Linked DNA regions of Neurospora crassa OR74A. The main gene of each other region encodes a partner of the protein of the gene in region 2 in a complex. Links are inferred from orthologs where the notes say so. Each region holds a gene or a part of one and is shown on either strand. Other genes may lie near its edges.

What was found.
Region 1: NCU00570 (region 2) and NCU08030 share a complex: the UniProt entries of both Saccharomyces cerevisiae proteins name them as parts of the RNA polymerase III (Pol III) complex. The link is inferred for Neurospora crassa OR74A from reciprocal best matches to the Saccharomyces cerevisiae genes RPC11 and RPB8.

What each region holds. Positions count from the first base shown.
Region 1 is NC_026504.1:3,962,548-3,972,598, forward strand, and holds NCU08030 (UDP-glucose 4-epimerase Gal10), read right to left. Parts: upstream 5,665-10,051; 5' UTR 5,504-5,664; coding exon 5,157-5,503; exon of another isoform or gene 5,067-5,156; coding exon 4,955-5,066; 3' UTR 4,654-4,954; downstream 1-4,653. Other genes in the region: NCU08027 (nucleoside diphosphatase), read left to right, coding at 1-650; NCU08028 (hypothetical protein), read right to left, coding at 1,361-2,047; NCU08029 (thiamine pyrophosphokinase), read left to right, coding at 3,484-3,530, 3,684-4,653; NCU08031 (paxneb protein superfamily), read left to right, coding at 5,973-7,142; NCU08032 (tRNA-splicing endonuclease subunit sen34), read left to right, coding at 7,756-8,703; NCU08033 (hypothetical protein), read right to left, coding at 9,200-9,220, 9,292-10,051. UniProt on the Saccharomyces cerevisiae protein: DNA-dependent RNA polymerases catalyze the transcription. of DNA into RNA using the four ribonucleoside triphosphates as substrates.
Region 2 is NC_026501.1:7,970,263-7,979,663, reverse strand, and holds NCU00570 (DNA-directed RNA polymerase III polypeptide), read right to left. Parts: upstream 8,254-9,401; 5' UTR 8,015-8,253; coding exon 8,002-8,014; intron 7,946-8,001; coding exon 7,659-7,945; exon of another isoform or gene 7,603-7,658; coding exon 7,564-7,602; 3' UTR 7,383-7,563; downstream 1-7,382. Other genes in the region: Arg-6 protein, variant, read left to right, coding at 1-1,231, 1,288-1,343; NCU00568 (hypothetical protein), read right to left, coding at 4,530-5,301, 5,363-6,285; NCU00569 (SOH1 family protein), read left to right, coding at 6,904-7,020, 7,075-7,362; NCU00571 (hypothetical protein), read left to right, coding at 8,995-9,021, 9,169-9,401. UniProt on the Saccharomyces cerevisiae protein: DNA-dependent RNA polymerase catalyzes the transcription of DNA into RNA using the four ribonucleoside triphosphates as substrates. Component of RNA polymerase III which synthesizes small RNAs, such as 5S rRNA and tRNAs.

The DNA.
Region 1 (10,051 bases), on a different chromosome or scaffold from region 2:
CAAAGGCCAAGACCACTCACAGTCTTCTCATCGTTTTCTTCATCTTCCTCGCGCTGCTGTTCTTTTTCCGCAAGAAGGATAGGCGTATGCGGTTCTATGGCCGTGTCAACAACCTCTTCCATAAGCCCCGCCGTTCCGGCCTGTTCGGCAAGATGGCATCGTCCGGCCACAACAACGGCCCCCTCTCCAGCCTGACAAACAAGCTCTTCGGCCGTCGCTCCCTTTCTTCGGGCTCTTATGAGCGCGTTCTGGAGGAAGGCGAAGCCGCCGAGTTCGAGCTAAACGATTCCCACTTCCGCAACTCAGCATCTTCCTACTTTGACCACAACAACGACCTCAACGGCTTCTACTCTGATTCCAGCGACAGCAGCTCCAGCGGAGGGGGACGGTCTAAGCTTGGGATTACGTCGGGGCTGGCAACGCCCAAGCTGAACCTGGATGGCCGGTTTGCTGATCTCGGCTGCGGCAACGGACTAATGACGCCTGGCGGCTCGGCGCTCGATAGGGCGGGCTTAGTGGTCAGGACGGATAGTCGAGAGCGGCTGGGGTTGACGCCTACAACGACGACTATGAGTTTGCAGGGGAGGAGGAGCCGGGCTGGTAGTCCCACGAGGCTGAAAAGTCCTTTGATGTCGCCTTTGCAAGGTTAAGGCGTCGAGGCCCATGTGCCTCAAAGTTTTGTTACGAAAAGACAACCAGTCGCTTTGTGCTTGATTGAACGATTTGTCATGGGAAACGGCGTTGGCGGATGTTTTATGGGTTTTGCATTTCTACCTTTTACCTCTGTATATGGTACTTTCTTGATGATGGATAATTGTTCTTCTAGGAGGTTAGCGGCCATGTCGTCCAACGATTTTTGTATGATGACAACGATACGGGTGGTCTTCAAACCCATCTGAGCGACGGGCTTTCAGTATATTTCTATTCTTCATTCTTCTTCATTGCCAACAGCTAGCTAGTATGGCTTTATCACAGGATTTTGGAACAAGATACCTCATTTTCATTCGCAAAATTTTCCAGCGTCTCTCTGTGCCATCTTTGCTTGTCCTTTGTTCTAACTGGGTATATTTGCGTCCTGAACGATCTGACACATACACAAACATGGCGTTGACCTGACCTCATCATTAATATGACAATTTCATGGTCTTGCCATCTACAATTTCACCAATTTCACCAATTTCGACGAACCCCCCCTTTTGTCCCCGAAGCCCAAGACTAGGTACACATCCGCCAGGAGGAAAGAAGGCTTTCTTCCAACTATGCCCATCCGGGAGCCTCTCCCACGAATTCAGCCCTCGTCACATATGTATAGAACGCTTTCTTCTGAGTCACCATTCCTTTGTCCCCATATGCTTACTGATCATTGATCATCATCCCTTTCCAAAAACCCCGGGTCTGTCCTCACCTTACTCTCAAACTTCTTCCACCACTCCTCAAACGCCTTAAGCGGCACCACCTCCATCTGCCCCGGCGTGGACCCGGTATAGCTCGACAAGAAGTTGAAGGCATTCTTGATGATCCTCTGCGCCAGCACCAGCGTGCTCGGCTGCTGCCGCGCTGCCGAAACCGGCACCAACGCCCCTTCTGTCCCATTACCACTTGTTGTTGCTGCTGCTGCTGCTGCTCCTGGTGTTGTTGTCCCCGTCGCAGACATCCTACTGGCCACACTCTCCGCATCCTCAACCGAGACCCCAATCACCACATTCTCGTTCCCACCCCCTGTCCCTCCTGCACCAGGTCCAACCTTGAAGATAGCACTCTCCTTCCCCGGGCCGATCCCACCCAAAAACTTGAAGTTGGGCGCCGTCTGCCCTGGTGAGGGCGGAGTGACGAGGTAAATTGCTGCTGCGGTCCCCGGGGGGAGGACTACGCCAGGCAAAAGAAAGACGACGACGTGCCCGAAGGGCTTGGAGATGGCGGAACCGGGGGGAGAGTTCGGGTTGGTCGGTGGGATGGCGTACAGGAAGGAGGTGGGACTGGGAGCTTCGGTGGGGGAGATTATTACGGGCTGACCGGCGGGAATGAGGCCGAAGAGGGGTTGGGACATTTTTGTTGGATTTGTGGTTTGGTGATAATGTGGTGTGATAAGAGAATGGGTTTGGTGGCGGTGTTGATCGCCTGTTGCTGTTGGGCACTGCTCGGGTGTGGTTGATGATGATGAAATTGACAGAGCTCACGGCTGTCGGTATGGGGAGTTGATTCGGTGTCCCGTTCTGGTTGGAGCTTGTGCTGGTTTTTGCCTCTGATAGATATATCGAACGGATGAGATAGGATATCTATGGCTGAGGTCCTTCAAGATGTATAGTTGTGTTCGCAAGATCGTGGGGTGAGCTTCGGTTTTGGAAGACAAAAGACCACGAATTCGAACTCGCGGTCGTAGCGTGTGAAGCTGTTAATGTCAACTCTATGTAAACAAAGACCTGGACTCGGGGTGAATGACCGATTCCGTTTGTTGTTTCCTCGAAGATGCCGCTTTGTCCTCGAATCTCAGTTGTTTTCCGGACGTGGAGCGGCCGAAGCGTTTATAATGCCGTAATATGTGGGGTCAAACAATGAGCTGGCAGCAAGGTAGGTATTCTTTGCGCACAACCGTCACTGGCTATAGAGAGGGAAAGGGATTTCACGGTTTTCCTCATTGAAAAGAATAGCTGTCAATTATACTTGATAGTTTCCCCCGAAGAGTTGTCTGGTATATATTTGTTTCTACACTCTTATTGAAGCTGATGATGTGATGGCGAGATCTCAAGCTACTGTGGGTCTCCCGTCTCGGATGCTTCCTTGTGACGGCAGGGCAGCCGGGCAGTTCAGAAAATCACTGGGTCTTGGAACCAACATAGAGATGATTCTAGAGTCCTCGACTTGCAAAAATTTGAAGCTTCAGTAGATAGACCCTCCATTTCCACGATACAATCTCCATTCTGGGATCCAATGACATGGATGGAAAGGCCAAGTCCTTGTCTGTAACTTCCACTTTCAATGAGGATTGTTCGTTGCCCCATTGTGACCCCCTGTGGTAAACTGCTCTTTCCCCGCTACAAAGCGCCTCAACACGCGACAGGGGCTTTTTGGATTTCTATCCTTCCATAAGTTCTGTCCCGAGTCTCGTCATCTGAACTATCTGAAGGAAAGACGATATGAGATCAATTAATTCACTTGCGCTTGTAACCTCAAACACGAATTCGTTCCATTGATTCAAATATATTGAAAGTGAAGAATTGCCCTGTTGATGCTGTCTCCCTAATTTGAGATGCTTCATGTTCCTCCCCTCCCAATTCCCGACGGTCTTCAATTGCGCTCCCGAACGACAGGAGATTAGCGCACGCCAATATCTGCTTCCCCACGCTCTCTTCCCTTGACAACATCCTCTCACTTGTGCCTCTCAAGCTCAAGTCAACAAATCCAGACTTTCGGCTTCATTTGCATTACTCGATCCCGTGTGACCACGCCCTATTATCCAAGGTCTCGGGAACCCGTTGCCAAACCATGACTCCTCGGTTGTCCACCCTCGACTTGGTGGCTAAAGTCGATGCGTACGTATTTATTTGTTTATTTTTTTTCTGTGAAACCGAATCCTCTGTGTTCACGCCCAGGAACTTAGATGGAACTTCAGTGAACGGATCTAAGGCCTACCTGGATTCCGAACATGACCAGAACGAGCGCTTACATTATCTCTAAAAATCAAGCTTCCCTTACGCGGACCGGGATCCCGAGGCTTATGCCCAGATCATGAAGTCTTTCTACACGTTCGTCTGGGAAGACCAGCAGGGTCAGGTACCCATAGGCTACGTGAAGCTGGACGTTGTCGATGCACTCAACAAAGCCCCGGCAACTCTCAAAGGACAGTTAGGGTTGCACATCGATGTCTCTAATAGGACTGTAGTGCTCTTCCGTGATGCCCCGGACAAAACCTACGAGGAACGCACTCGGCTTGTCGGAAAGCTCACTGCGCTTTGGCGTGAACAAGAGGCATTTGCCATCCTCAAGAGCTGGCGAAACGAGCTGTGGCCAGTTTATGGTCGCAACAAGGAGCTCGTGTTCAGCATAGAGCGGGCAGCTATGGGCCTCTTTGGAACCACACGCTACGGCGTGCATATGAACGCCTTCATCAGACGTCAGGATGCCAGCAGCAAGTATGACTTGAGAATCTGGGTTCCCAAGCGGTCCGCGACCAAATCGACCTATCCGAGCATGTTGGACAACGCGGTAGCGGGTGGCTTGATGACCAACGAAGACCCCTTCGAATGCGTCATCCGTGAGGCGGACGAAGAGGCTTCACTGTCCGAGCATATCGTGAGGAACAACGCCAAAGAGGTCTGCACCATCACTTATATCTACATCACGGACGAGCGCGCGGGAGGCGAGGCGGGGTTGATCTACCCGGAATGCCAATGGATTTATGATCTAGAGCTACCTGCGGATGGAAGTGTCGTCCCCGAGCCAAAAGACGGCGAGGTCGAGAGCTTCAGCTTGTGCACAGTGGAGGAGATCCAGAAACAGCTCGCCCAGGGAATGTGGAAGCCGAACTGTGCCGTCGTCATGCTCGATTTCTTCGTTCGGCACGGCATTTACACGCCTGAAAACGAGCCGCATTACGACGCATTTCGTGACCGGGCTCATCGACACATCGCCTTTCCCGGTCCTCATCAGGCCTGAATCCATCGAGCACCTTCCGCAGGGCACTAGCTCTTCCAAAGGCAGATGGACAGCCCTTGGCTCGGTAGCGGCATAAATACAGGTACTTGCTTTCCGGGTATCGTTGATTCATTACTTTCCCCAGACCCCTTTTCCCTAGGATATGCCTTTTCTGGTCCACGCATAACCTTAAACGCCCGTTCGCCCTCCAAAGATCCAATGAATGTTGCTCGCGCCCTAGACTCTTGATCGGTCTGATGCTATTTAGCCGCTGGAAACATTTGCTTTTTTTCAATTTTTTATTCTCCGGAAATTTCAGCTCTCAAGCGTTCCTGTTGGCGAGGAGGTAGACGTAGTCGACACGCAGGGGCGTGAGCTTCTTGTAGGGACCATCGAGGGCCATCAGAAGACCACCGTAGGACATATACGCCTTGCTAAATTTCGCAACCGAACCAGTCAGCCACTCATTTTCCCCGAATTCCAAGGTCGAGATACTCCTGCCCAATTCCCAGGCAACAACTTACATGGTCTGGCCATCCTTTCCATCCTCAAACTTGTAGACCTTGCCATGGCAGACATACTCATAGCTGTCGGCCAGGGTCTGCTCAACGCTACCGAGCTTGGCAGCATCGCGCCAACCCCTCTCGTCGTCCTTGCTACCGTCGAGGGACAAGGAAGTAGCCAATGCAATTCTAAGGTACTCGCCGACCTTGACAGGGAAGAGCTCCTTGTTGACATCGAGCTGCATGCTGGTCTGGCCATCGACGGAGGTGCAGTACAGACGGTCGACGCGGTCGTACTTGGGATCGCTGATTCTCTCGACCTTGAACTCGTCCTCGAAGAGTTGGGCGTCGGACGTGAGGGCGGACATTGTGAATGCTGGTGTGGAATCGATGAAACAGTCGATGTTGGATATTGATTGCTCGGAAGGATACTAGTGTCAGATTTTGGTCGAGTATCAAACGCGTGTCGATAGGTGGGTAAAACGAATTGTCGCGAGCGGTAGTAATGATGGTGTTTGGGGAAACTTTTGGAGATGCGACTGAGCGATGGAGATGCCGCCATGCAGTTGCCGTCCCAAAAAATTCCAGCCTTGCGGCAATTGGACCAGGATGCCGGGGCAAGTAGTGGGGCAACCACCATTGAAAATCCCTGTCACGCCCGTCCAGTGTGTGACAAAAGTACAGCGGGGCTCTCAGGCACTCCAGTGACGTCCAAGCTTCCATGGAATTTCTTCCAGGGATCGAATCGACTATATTTGGACTTGAAGAATACATACCTCAACATCATCAAGTTTGGATTCGATACTCAAATAAGGACTGCAACTTGCCGACTGAACTATGTCCTTCGTCAAAAGAAACACCGTCCTATCCTCACCGAGAGCCGGACTCACGCCGTCCGCTCCCCAGCAGCAGCAACCCAAACAGGAAACGCAGCTTGCGCCGGGTCTTCGACCATCACCAACTGATGGCAGGTTGACCACTTCAACTGGCACTGCTTCCCTGGACCAACTTCTTGCAGGACACGGTGGACTCCCCTTAGGAACATGCTTACTGGTTGAGGAGCAAGGGACCACCGACTTCTCTGGAATTCTTCTACGGTACTATGCTGCCGAGGGTCTCGTCCAAGGGCATCAGGTTCACGCAGTAGCCTTTCCGCCAGAATGGAGGCATCAGCTTCCAGGGCTGGCTTCACCTGACAAGAAGTCAAAGAGTGCATCACCGGCGCCGGCACCCGAAGAGAAGATGAAGATTGCGTGGAGATATGAGTCCTTGGGTAACAACGCCAATGCAGGAGCTTCTGCTCGTGGGGATTCTGGAGCGCCTTTCTGTCACTCCTTTGATCTCAGCAAGAGGCTTGCCAGCTCCGAGTCCAAGGGTACTCTGAACCCGATTTCAGTTGGCGGTTCCCCGAGCTTAGACCGGAAAAGTGTTGGGACAGCTTCTCCTCTGAAGATGCTTCTCAAGCAATTGCGGGCCAAGTTGGAGAGCTCAGGATCAAACGCCATTCATAGACTGGTGGTGCCCAGTCTCCTCTCACCAACCCTCTATCCTCCTGGATGCGCCCAACCATCAGAGGTTCTACAGTTTCTACATGGGCTCCGGGCTCTCCTTCGACTGTACAGCACCCAGCTCACAGCAATCATTACCTTCCCGACGTCCTTATTCCCTCGCAGTTCAGGCCTGGTCCGGTGGATAGAAATTCTTTGTGACGGCGTCGTCGAGCTCATCCCCTTGCCTGCCAGGCTAGGTGCCGCGCCACCGCCGCCCTCAAGGTCGGATCCCAAGGCAAACGAGCAACCCCAGGGTATGTTCAAAGTATACACACTGCCTGTGTATCATGAGAAGGGTGGTGGAGGAGCAGAGTCGGGCCAATTCCGTGAGAACCTGTCATTCAGCTTGAGCGCATCCAAGGGCTTGGTGATCAAACCGTACAGTCTCCCGCCTATGCTCGAGGATGAGCAGGAGAAGCCCTCAGCTGCTCCAAAGAAGGATGGGCTTGATTTCTAAAGTCATCTTCCGCTTGGCAATTTAACGGCTTGTTTTTTTGCAAATAACCGACTTTTTTTGGCCCCCTTTTGGCAGTCTCATCATATGTTCAGGTGAGCTTCTTGATCATCATTGAAACTCCCGTCTCTTTACTTGCCCAGGTATTGGGCACGCTGTAAGTCCACTCGAGCCACTGAAACCATTGGTGGACGCCCGCCTGGAGCTACCTACGGGCGTACAGCAACACCTGGGGTGGAGCTCAAGGAAAATGTGTGGGGTCGTGGACTCACCGCCCAAATTTCCGCCGTTTTCTGCCACGGCGCGATAAAAGCCCACGCACCTCCGCCCAGAAGTTTCCCACTTTCTCTCCTCGTGTCGTCGTGTCCAACAACAGCATTTTTGGTAAGTCAAAACAGCTCTTTTTGCACACTTCCCAGTTGGTCATTTCATGATGAAACAACAAACGTATCAATCTGTCAATCCCCTGATTCATAGTGATGATAAATACGGCTGTCCAAGGCTTCTGATCCTTTGGCCAATCTATCTCTCCTGTTCACACACGACGCAAGCTCGGTTTAAGAACTGTTTCTAACCAAGAGAAAATTAGGCACTTCATTGTTTTCACACACTTACAATGTCATCAACCGAGGACGACAGACAAGTACGGATCTCCAAGATCGCTGGTCGGTACCTCGTCTTTGATATTGATGATGTGGCGTATATCCGTCGCCAGCATGGCATCTGCGCTGTTTTCACGGGCACCATGCCGCAGAATCCCACTCAGAATGTCTTCCTAGGATTGCCGCTCGAGCTGTATGCCGAGGATGCCAAGATGCTTTTGGACAGAAAGGTTGCCTACATTGCCGATGACCCTTTAGAACACTTGACCCAGTTGAAGTCAATGGATGACGAGACGCGCAAATCATACCTGCAGTCTATCAAGACGCAGCGCAGAACTGCCCAGCTTGTGTTCAATGAGGCCAAGGCACAGTCTATGGCTAAGCACAAGGACAAGCGCAAGCCGAAACAGCCACAGCCCTCTGTTGTCGTACCCACTGAACTGCCGCTGTCAGCATCATCTGCCGATGGCGTTGCGGCCGCCGTAGATCAGGAAGAAGAAGGAGGAGCAGAATTCCTCTTGGAGTCGTCATCATCCAAGCCACTCAAAACGGACGCGTCGACGCCTCCTCAGAAGCCGCTGGTCAAGGAGAAGCTACCTGCAATCACTCCAACCACCAGCAATGCCATGATTTCTAACGGGACAAGTAATCCTGATGTAGAAAACCACACTGCGCTACCATTGTATTCGTACTTGAACGAGAGAGGATACTTCATCACTCCAGGTCTGCGCTTCGGTGGTGACTTTAGCGTCTACCCCGGCGACCCCTTCCGCTATCATGCTCATTATATGGCGAACAGCTATGGGTGGGATGAGAAGATCCCCATGTTGGATCTCGTCACCAGTGGTCGTTTGGGAACGGCTGTCAAGAAGAGTTTCCTCATGGGAGGGCAGAAACCGGCGACAGAGGACAGTGAAGCTGGCGAGTTGAGGGCGTTCTGCATTGAGTGGGCGGGCATGTAGTTTCAGGCAGCTTGAGCATTTGACGGAAGAGATGATACCCATTACAACAAGCCTTCACGTTCTGTATTATCATCGGATCTAAGCCTGTTGAATGATGAATATATTGTTGCGTATATGTAGTCCGTCGAGATCCCATGGGAAATCCATGGGAACAATCCACACCAAGGCAGCCAAGATCAGACCAAGAACCATCAAAACACCCTTTCAATCGCTTCCCATTTGCCCCTGTACATGCCTCACAACGTGACACTAACCTCGATGGCCATTCATCATGCTATTTGACACGCAACTTCCATCTTATGATGCTTTCTTCTTTAAGACATGCCTCTCATTCCCTTCATCATTACCAACTAGACTAGGTGTGTAGTGTAAAGCCATTTAGAAATACGAAAAATACCTTCCTCTTCCCAATAAAGTCCATAGCCCAAAGTATCAAGGCACATAAATCCTGCTAAAACTAATAACCTCCCTCCGACAACACACGCACTTATCAAAATTATTCATGGCCAAACTCACCCTGCACTCATCGCAGAGACTCAGACACCGACACGGCCACACGATGATCGTTCTCGGCGCGCACTGACAGACCACGCACTGCGGTCCTTCACTGCCCAGTCCATCCGCGCCCGTTGCCCAGTCGCCTGCCGTTGCCGCTGCCGCCCCATTACTTCCACTTCCACTTCCGCTGCCCTCCTCCCCTGCCTCCGTGGGCGCAGCAGTCGCCCGCCTCGACAACAATATCTGTTCCAACCGTCTAGCCTCTTCCTCGGGCGTCATCATTTGTGTGCTTTGCCCCCTTCCATATCCGTAAAGACTACGGTGCTGGGCGCCAGAGAGTAGCACCTTGACGCGCTGGCGCGCCTGGTGCTGGCGGAAGCGGGAGCGGGTCATGATGCCTTCTTCAAAGGACAAGTGGGCGGCGAGGGTGATGGCTTCCTCGCGCTCTTCCGGGCTCTGCGGGTTGAGGAGGCGGGCGAGGTCGGAGGCTGCTAGAGGGAGGTCTGCTACTTGCGAGGGAGTGGATTCCCGGGAGAAGGCCCAGGATTGATGGAGCGGGTTTTGGTTACTATTGTTGTTTGGGTAAGGGGACGATTGAGTGGGTGTTCGTTGGCCGTCTTGGAGATGGTTGTTGTCGCTGTCGGACTCCCAGGCGTCCAAGTCTGATAGTGATGTGCTCTCGGTTGTGGAGATGATGCTTGTGGTGTCAAAGTCAGGGTCGTCCAGGCCGGAACTGCCGTCAGGGGGAACGTAGTCACCGCTTGTATCGGTGTTTCCCCACCAGCCGCCGTTAAGAAACCAGCTGTAGAGCCTGGAGTCGATGTCGGCTTCGCTGGCGTCGGGTTGCTCA
Region 2 (9,401 bases):
CTCGGCTGGTTCTTTGACAAGGCCGACGGTAGCATCACCCGCCAGGGTGATGTCATGTTCTGGTATGGCATTGAGAACGGCGATGAGATTGTCAAGCTCATGAAGGATTTCACCGAGAACGGCCGCGCCATGCTTGGTAACTCCAACCTCGAGTCTCGTCTTCGTCAGGCTGCCAGCAAGCCCGCTGCCCAGCAGGTTCGCGGCTACTCCACTCTTGCTCGCCGCCCTGCCCTTCCCAAGTTCAGCATCTCTAACCGCAGGGGCTACCTAACCCAGACCAACCCCAACCCCCCTGTCGGCAAGCAAAATGCCTCTATGGACCGTCCCGCTCGCGTTGCCCTCATCGGTGCTCGTGGTTACACGGGCCAGGAGCTGATCCGCCTCATCGACTCTCATCCCAACATGGAGCTTCACCATGTCTCCTCTCGTGAGCTTGCTGGCAAGAAACTCGAAGGCTACAACAAGCAGGAGGTTATCTATGAGAACCTCAGCCCTGAGGATGTCCGTGATATGGAGAAGCGTGGCGAGATTGACTGCTGGGTTATGGCTCTGCCCAACGGTGTCTGCAAGCCCTTCGTTGAGGCCGTCTGGGAGGGTCGCAAGGCTTCCGGCCACAAGAGCGTTATTATCGATCTTTCTGCTGATTACCGCTTTGACAACAAGTGGACCTACGGTCTCCCTGAGCTTGTCCAGCGCAGCAACATCATCCAGGCTACTCAGATTGCCAACCCCGGCTGCTACGCTACTGCCGCCCAGCTCGGTATTTCTCCCTTGGTTCCTCACCTCGGTGGTATGCCCCACGTCTTCGGTGTCTCTGGCTACTCTGGTGCTGGCACCAAGCCTTCTCCCAAGAACGATGTCGAGAATCTCACCAACAACATCATCCCCTACAGCTTGACTGGCCACATCCACGAGCGTGAGGTTAGCTCCCAGCTCGGTGCCGAGATTGCCTTCATGCCCCATGTCGCTGTCTGGTTCCGCGGTATCCACCACACCATCTCCATTCCCCTCAACAAGAGCATGACTTCCCGCGACATCCGTCAGCTGTACCAGGACCGCTATGCCGGCGAGAAGCTCGTCAAGGTTGTTGGCGAGGCTCCTTCCGTTAAGAACATTGGTGGTAAGCACGGTGTTGAAATTGGTGGTTTCGAGGTTGACAAGTCCGGCCGCCGCGTCGTCATCTGCGCTACCATTGACAACCTCCTCAAGGGTGCCGCTACCCAGTGCCTGCGTAAGTTTTCTATACTCTCCAGTCTCGCAGAGTGCCTCTGCTAACCACATTAACAGAGAACATGAACCTTGCCCTTGGCTACGCTGAGTACGAGGGTATTCCCACCATGTAAATGAGTAAACGTTGTTGGATCTGATGAGATCCAAAGTTGTCTGCCGTGCGTAACACTTGTCGCACATTTTCCACCGAAAGGTTTTTACAATCCAGCGAATTTTTGGGTCATGCTTGGTCAACGTTCTCCTTACATACAGTTTTTGTCTTTCACCTTGGTATATTGCGGTTCATACGGAGTTTAGCTGGGCATGTTGAAAACTGGATTTGATTCCTTTGCTTGTTTTTGCGCCCACATTGTTGTTATTTCCCCCCGGCTTATGATGAAAGGTATGGCTGGCCTGGCATCATTGTATATATTAAGCTGCTGGAAAACGAAAAAGCGAAGTTGATATATCATCCCTGGGATGGGAAGCTAGTCAGCATCTATTTCCTTGACGAGTCACTCGATGCCTGATGCTCTCTCCAACCGCAAAGACTGGACGGTTATCTGAACGACATTGTTCTAAGGTAGGTAACCAATTATAAGCTTTGCCTCGGTCTATTTTGATCCGCTGGCCTCCTTCCTTTTAGTCATCTCCCAGGTATCGCTGGACCGGTCAATCCATCTCGATATAGATACTATCAGCGGCCTCCGAGGTCTACCATGCAGTGGACTCCAAACGGACCATACGGAGCCCCCGAGCCCGAAGTAATCGCACACATCACACAGCCTCTTTCTTCCTTCAGCTCTCGTACTAGTTCTACAATTTTAACGACCGAATGAGGCCACTATCCTCCTGATGGCTCGGCGTTCAGTTTTCCGGGATAGACTATCGACAGAACAACGCTATCGGTTCGCTTCTGACCAAATGCACGACGCTCGAATGACGACAGTGAAGTATTCAATAGTCCCAGTCTGGACAGTACCTCGAATGGAATCGTGGCGTTCTAGATGGGGTTTCTTTCCAAAATCTTTCTACGCTTCAACATGATGGATTCCGGGGTCCAAAAGAGAGCTACGATAAGAGGCGTTCGCACATGCTGACCATTACCACATAAAGTATATGGGAAAACCATCCACTCCATTGGTATGTGGGCTCTGTAGATCAGACAAGGCTCGTATACACTTTATTTGGTCATTGACCAGGCGTACGCTTCTTGCTCTGGTCTCTTATTTCGAATCATCAATTCCCACATTCAAGCGACACACACACTTTCCTTCTTACAATACCCTCAGCGGTATTCTCGACCTTTGTGATCGAGTTCTGATCTCAAACACCAGTCGTACGAAGTCATATGTACAATCTTGCAAGGAAAAAACCAGACGTCTCCAGCCGTCAAACGGTTTCGTTTGTATGACAATTATATGGGGTAGTACTGAAGAAAGAAGCTGAGAAAAAGACTACATATTTCGGATCCGGCTTCCAGCCTCCACGTCTGACATATTTGACCAAACAAAAGTACCATTAAAACGAGCGGAAAATGGTAATTGTAATGGTATCAACGGCTTGTCACTGGACTAATGATTGGCCTAAAATATATATAAGGAAGGGGGAACCCCAGAGTGAAGTAAGAACTTTAATACATCACTCATCAAGATCTCTCCAAATATACTACGTTTTCATACGTACTGCATACCGTTCTATTTGCCTTTTAAAGCACTACGTACCTAGGTAACAGTGTCCTCTGACGCCTACCCAGCTACCTGTTCTTTGATCTCTTAAGGGAGGGTAAATTTGATCTTATAATTCATCTGTAAACACTACCATCATCGCCCCCATGTGATCTAGGAAGGAAATGTGGGAGGGCCTGAGAGGTGACGGCGTTATAGTCTTTGTGTGGGGCACAACGGATTCTCATTCACAGTTCGTCAGAATAGACACTTAATGCAGCTGGCGAGAACATGTTTTTGAACTTGATCCACAGAAAGACATCCAGCTGTTTTTGTTCCATGGCTAGTACCCATTTCTCATTCCTTCGACGCACATCCCACTTTCCTCCAAGAGAAGGAGTCAAAGGTAGAGGACCAAAAAGAGAAGGAACAAAAAAAGACAAAGACATACAACACCAGGTTATTCGCCGGTCGTCACCGATCCGACTACTAGTCTGGCGGTCACTGGCTTATCAATGGGAGATCAGACGGGATCCCGAGTTCTCCAAGTGCCTATGGTCGTATGTGTAAATGCTGTTGTTGCTGTTGCTGGAGAGTGGGTGTTTGAACTCCGTTCGTTCCTTATGTAGAGAGATACAAGATCTGGTAGGATGGTGTCTGGTGTTGATCAGGTCAGAGGGGGATAAACAGCAGACAGCAAGTATGATATCCTTTGGAGTTGTACATAAGGAATCGGTAGGTACGGACAGTCATTTAGCTTATGGACACAACGCCGTTACAGTTTACAAATATACCACTATCATCAATTCCCGTCTCTCACATGGAGAATTCTTAAAATACCCATCCAAAAGGATCTTTTCCTATAGGTGCAACACTGACTGACAGTAAGGATAACCACTACAGCAAACATTAACATTCCATCCCGTCCCATCAGGCCCCCGTACTTAGAAGTACCTACTTATGAACCTCCCGCTCCTTCCCAAGTTGATCCTCTAACAAACGAACATATAAGCTCCTTAGGTAATCAGCAACTACGATTGCCGCCACCGCTGGGTCAGCTAGCGCAACGGTCTACCGTTGTAAAAACTCAAACCTCCCTGGCCCCAAAATACTCACTCACCTGTTGGTTCGGGAACAATGATGTACATTCAAGTAACTCAAAAAGGCTCCACATCGTCAGGCCGCGTCCACTTGAAAGTTAATGACAAGTACAGAGAATAGATGGCAGGGACAGCGTTGAGCCGGTTAACAAATGTGTGCTGCTTAAGTGCGCGGTTGTTGGGCTTTCTTTTTAGGGTATAATTTCATATCCTCATCGAAGCTGAGGGAGCAGATGGGAAAAGAAGACAGAGGTCGCGGGGTTCAAATGGTGACATGGTCTTTTTTTTTTTTTTTTTTTTTTTTCTTCTTTTTCTTCTTGTTTTTGTCAATGTATATGTTTCAGTGAGTCCAGTTTTGAGACGCAGCATGAACGCCCGGCGAGTGTCCAAGTGTGGCAGGGTCATTGTGTCTTTTTCTTTTTTCCCGGATATATTATGATGACGCTGAGTGGCATGCACTTCTACCTTCTATGTATTCTTCGAACCCAAACTCCATACGCTCTCTATCCCAATAGCATCATGCCCGATTCAAAGACCTGGCTACCTTAAATGACTAATCCGTCTTTGGAGGCTTGGGCCTGGGAGCCTTGATAGAGAATAGCACGACATCGTACTCCTGGGATGTCTCCTCTTCCTCCTTCTCTGCCTCCTTCTGACCCTTATCACCATCCTTCGCCTCTTTATTATCCTTGTCTCTCGCTGGCTTCCTGACCTCATCTCCATCGGCGTCCAACGTAACAACGACGTCCTTTGTGTCCAAACTCCCGTCCTCGGTATAGCCCCACACATCCTTGAGTTCCCTGCGAATCAGACCGGTCAGCCAGACGGACCCGGTAACGCAAGGGACCAGGTACAACAGCGCGGGCTGTCCGTGGTTGAACACCTGGAGCATCGTCAAGGTGAAAACCATGCCCAAGGCATAACCTGCTACCGAAGCGTAAAAGTAGGGCTTGGGAAAAGCAGTTGCAGCTCCGACCGCGCCACATGCTGGGTTTGGCATCAGGTTGCCCAGCTTGGTGGTCCAGAAGCGGTTGCCCCATTGACCTTCTGATTCCACGAATGGTGCTTTGGTTCGTCGGAACTGCATTTCGTTCGTAGAACTAGCTGCTTGATCCGTAGATGAGGCCTGCTTGGAAGACGCATCAACTGGCTGATATTGGATTTGTCTCTTGTAAAACATGTACAAGTCGAAGCGAAGGGCGAGTGCCATGACCAAGCCAGGAACAACAATGTCTCCGAGTCCCAGCATGCTGAAGCCGGACGAACTCTTGAATACCAGCTTGATTGGGGCGTCAACCTTTTTAGCAACGGTGATCATGAACGGACTGTAGAAAATGGATTAGTAACTGGATAGCTGTCCTGGCTGAAAGATGGGTGGAAACATACGTGTAAAACACCATGACGATGTCATAGAAGAAGAGACCCCAAAGAACAGCGGTACCTATACCGAAAGACGTGGGCGAGAGCATGCCAAAAGCAGCGTAGCACATGGCAGCCCCAAGAATGTTGGAAAGGACATGCCACTGAACAAGGTGATATGCAGTAGTTATCGCGATTGAGACCAAGAATCCAAGTAGATGGTTGAACTTGATCTGCGACTTGAAAGAGCCGACGCCATGGGCAGCAAGGCGGACTGTCCACTTCTCCGTAAAGAGGTGCCGAATCTCCCAGGCAAGTCTGTTGATTCCAGGAGGCAGGCGAACCATGGAAAACACACCGGGGAAAGGCGACTTCTTGTCGGTGATCATGGCCTGGTTCGTCGTTGGGTCAACTAGTACCTGAGAGCGGCGTTTCGGATCGACGTAGTAGAGTCTGTTGCTGCGATCTGACCATACACTTGGGAAAATCAAGCTGGTGAGAATCTCTAAGGCGTCCCCGGACAGCTTGCCGAGGCCGGCAATGCCAGCGAAAGACATGTAACCTCGCAGTATCTTGTTCAACAGGTTGGGATCCTTAAGCCACTCTAGCAGATAGTAGAGCCCAATGAGAACTGCGCCGGCCAGAATGGGAAACATGATGGCATCAGAGGCAGTCAGTCCTTCCGTGAACTGCTCGTCTTCCTTTGACTTCTTCTTCTTCTCGTCCTTGTCTTCGGACTCTGGTGGGGCAGCGGAGGGAGGTCGGCGGAGGGAGCCATGAGCACCAAGCCATATTACAGCCAAGGCGCCGAAGATAACCTGAGCATCAAACCAAAGAACTTCTGGCCTAAGGAGCATCTCCCAATGAAAAGTGTATGGTGTGGCATCTGGAACCGGAGATGGAAGGATAGTACCTGTCGCGTTGACGGCCGAAGCTTCAGGAGAAGCCATGGTGATATCCTAGTCAACTCGCGATACTCATGCGTTTCTATTTGCCGTAATCTGTCGTTATGAATGAGATATGAACACCGAGTATCGAATGCTTTTTGTAGCAGTGAGAAAGATGAGATAATTCCGTCAACGTGGATAATGCCGTCAACGTGGGATGTTGGGTTGGTGTTGAGATAAAGCTGCGTGTCCAACCTGCCCTGGAAGGGAACAACGGAAGCGGCCTTGGGTTCCACAATTAGGTTCCAGGTTGTTGTCGGGTTGACTGTCACTGCAGAAGCAAGTTACAGGGCTGATCTGAGTATTTATAGCGGTTACACGCTGATTTTTCTGCAGGGACAGAGCCATCTCCGCTTGCTTGCCCCACTAATTTGCCACATCCGGGCCGCCCTCGAGGAATTGTTGGTGGAACAAAACAGTCTCGCCTTCCTTCCGGGCACTCACGGGCCGTTGAGGCTTTCGTCCAACACAAACGACCATTTAAGAGCAGCCACTGCTCACGTCTACTTGTACTGCCCATCGCATTCACTTGACAAAGAGGCGCAAACATCTAGACACGTTCCTAGGTATCCAGCTCATTCACAGATTGGAACACTGTAACAAACACTCATTTTTTACGTCATGGCATCCGATCCCATGTCAGTAAACAGTTCAGCAAGGGAGCCACCTGCGCCTCCGGGATCAGGGGCAGACGAGCCCAAGTATGGAGGATATACACGGTTCGAACTCGAACTGGAGGTAGGCTTCATACACATTATCATCCAGCGTGCGTGGTATTAACAGAACACTCAGTTTGTTCAAGCACTTGGCAACCCGCTGTACCTGAACCATCTTGCGTCCAGGAAGCTACTCAGCAATCCTGCTTTCATCGCCTACCTCGACTATCTCCAGTACTGGAGCCGCCCACCTTACCTCAAGTATATCACCTACCCTGGGCCTACCTTGAAGAACCTGGAGTTGCTGCAGCAGGAAAAGTTCAGGCAGGACATCATCAGCCCAGACCTGGTCGAGCGTCTCAGGCTAGAGGGCATGAAGGCCGGAATCGACTGGCATCGAGAGAGTTTTCCAAGCACGGCATAAGTTGCACGGGTAGAATGATGCCAGGGATGGAAACGAGTGGGAAGTAGCCTCTGGCAGGCCAGTACCGCACAAGTTGATTCTGATGAAGAATACCTCACATGCAACTACACAAAAACAAAAGAAAAACCCAACGCCAAGCAATGCCCCCAATACCATGTATTGATGATCCGACCAGACCTGTGCTGAACATGTCTTCTTCCTCTAGTTGTTGTCTCTCCACCTGTGCCCGCAAGTCATACACTACGAGACATGTTAGCTTCTTACTTTATCCCATCAGTCTGCAATCCCCTTCTTACCTTGTAGAACGTCGTCATCGGTTCATCAGCACTACGAATTTGAACCTGGAAGAAGGCTGCCTCGTTGCCATTGCAAGTTCCGCTGTCACACTGGACCTTGCCTTTTTGTGCATTGTCCCAAGCGCCTGGACCACCAAACACGTCTTCCTTCTCCTTGCGCGGGAAGTTCTTGCGGGAGTAGATGGGCTTGTCGATGGGGTGTTCGTAAGGACAGGTTCTGCACTCGAGCCTGTTGCCACCCGTGTCCGCTCGGGAGAGGATGAGGAGGTTGGCGCAGAATGGGCAAACTGTGGTGGGCGTTTAGTTCCGGTGTCCTAGCCTTTGTGGGTGGACTTGGACTTACAGACGATAGGCATGTTTGCTATTGATGAAGGGACTGGATTTGTTTGTTGTGTGTTATCGTCCGTTATGAATAGCAAGTGAGATGAGTCGAGCGGTTGCCAAAAGTCTTGTTGACGATCCTGATGAGAAGAGGCGTCGCCGTAAGCTGGTACCTTTTGTGAAAACAGCTGGCCAAGACCGGTGTTTATGTCTACCACTTGCTGGGCTTTAAGGTAGTGATATAAGTTGTTAGAGTGTAAATAGTCAGTGTAGGGGCGATGGCCTGAAAAAAAGTGTTATAGCTCGATGCGGTCCGTTAATTCTATAAACCTTAAATGTAGCGCTTGAATTTTCATTGGTCAGATCTGCATCATCAACTGTCCCACACTTGGTCAGCGGTGCCTGGACCCAACGGCCCTTTCTGTTGTGCCTGTGCTAAGGTAGGTACGTACCTACTCACTGACATGCAGCTGGGCCTCAGCGCATGCCATCTGAATGCCAGCGTCCTGATCGGGCCCCGCAAGGAGCCGACCATTCTGTAACACCAAGGGAAGACGACACTGCCACTGCCACCTCCTAACCAGCCCGTTAGGTAGAGGTACGGAATGCTTCCATCCCGTCCTTCATACAACCACCACCACCACCACGACTGGAGATATCTCATAGAATACAGTACACTGTACCCTACAAACAGTCGTTCGCCGCCCTCTTATTACCCCGAAGATCCCTCATTGAGCGTTACGCGATCCCGATCCTTTTATAGGAATCGACCGATTACCTGATTCGACAGCCTGGCCACTTCCATACCGTACATCCACTCTCCCCCGCCGACCCATTTCCACGATTCCCGCTCGTAATTAGCAATTCCAGGCCAATCTTACCTCTCTACTTTGGACAACTCTCGCCGTCATCCCTCTTCGCTTTCACCGTCGTTTTCGCTACTTGTGCTTCTTCCTACAACCAAGAAACATCACCCGCCGTTTCCGAGACAACCACAAGTGACCTACCAGTAACCATGGCCGGAAAGGACGAAGAACACGAGGTTCGTACCACACAAGCGTCCTCTACCCCCAACTAACACCCTCTCTCTTCTATCCCCCGTTTCACCCGCCCTACGCCCTCTCGCGCAAACAGCTATACTACAGACAACCCCAGCTAACCCTTCCTTCTTTCACCCCCCAAAATACAGGGTGCCTCCATCTCCGAGCAGCTCATTGAAGCTTGCCGGCGTAACAACACTGACCTCCTCTCGGAAATTCTCGCCGACAAATCCGACGAAGAAATCTCCTCCCTCTTGAACAACACGACCACCGTGATGGGCAACCACCTCTACCACGAAGCCGCGCTCCGTGGCAACTACGAGATAATCGACATGCTCCTCGACCAACCAGGCTTTGAATGCGATCCCGTCAACCGACTCGA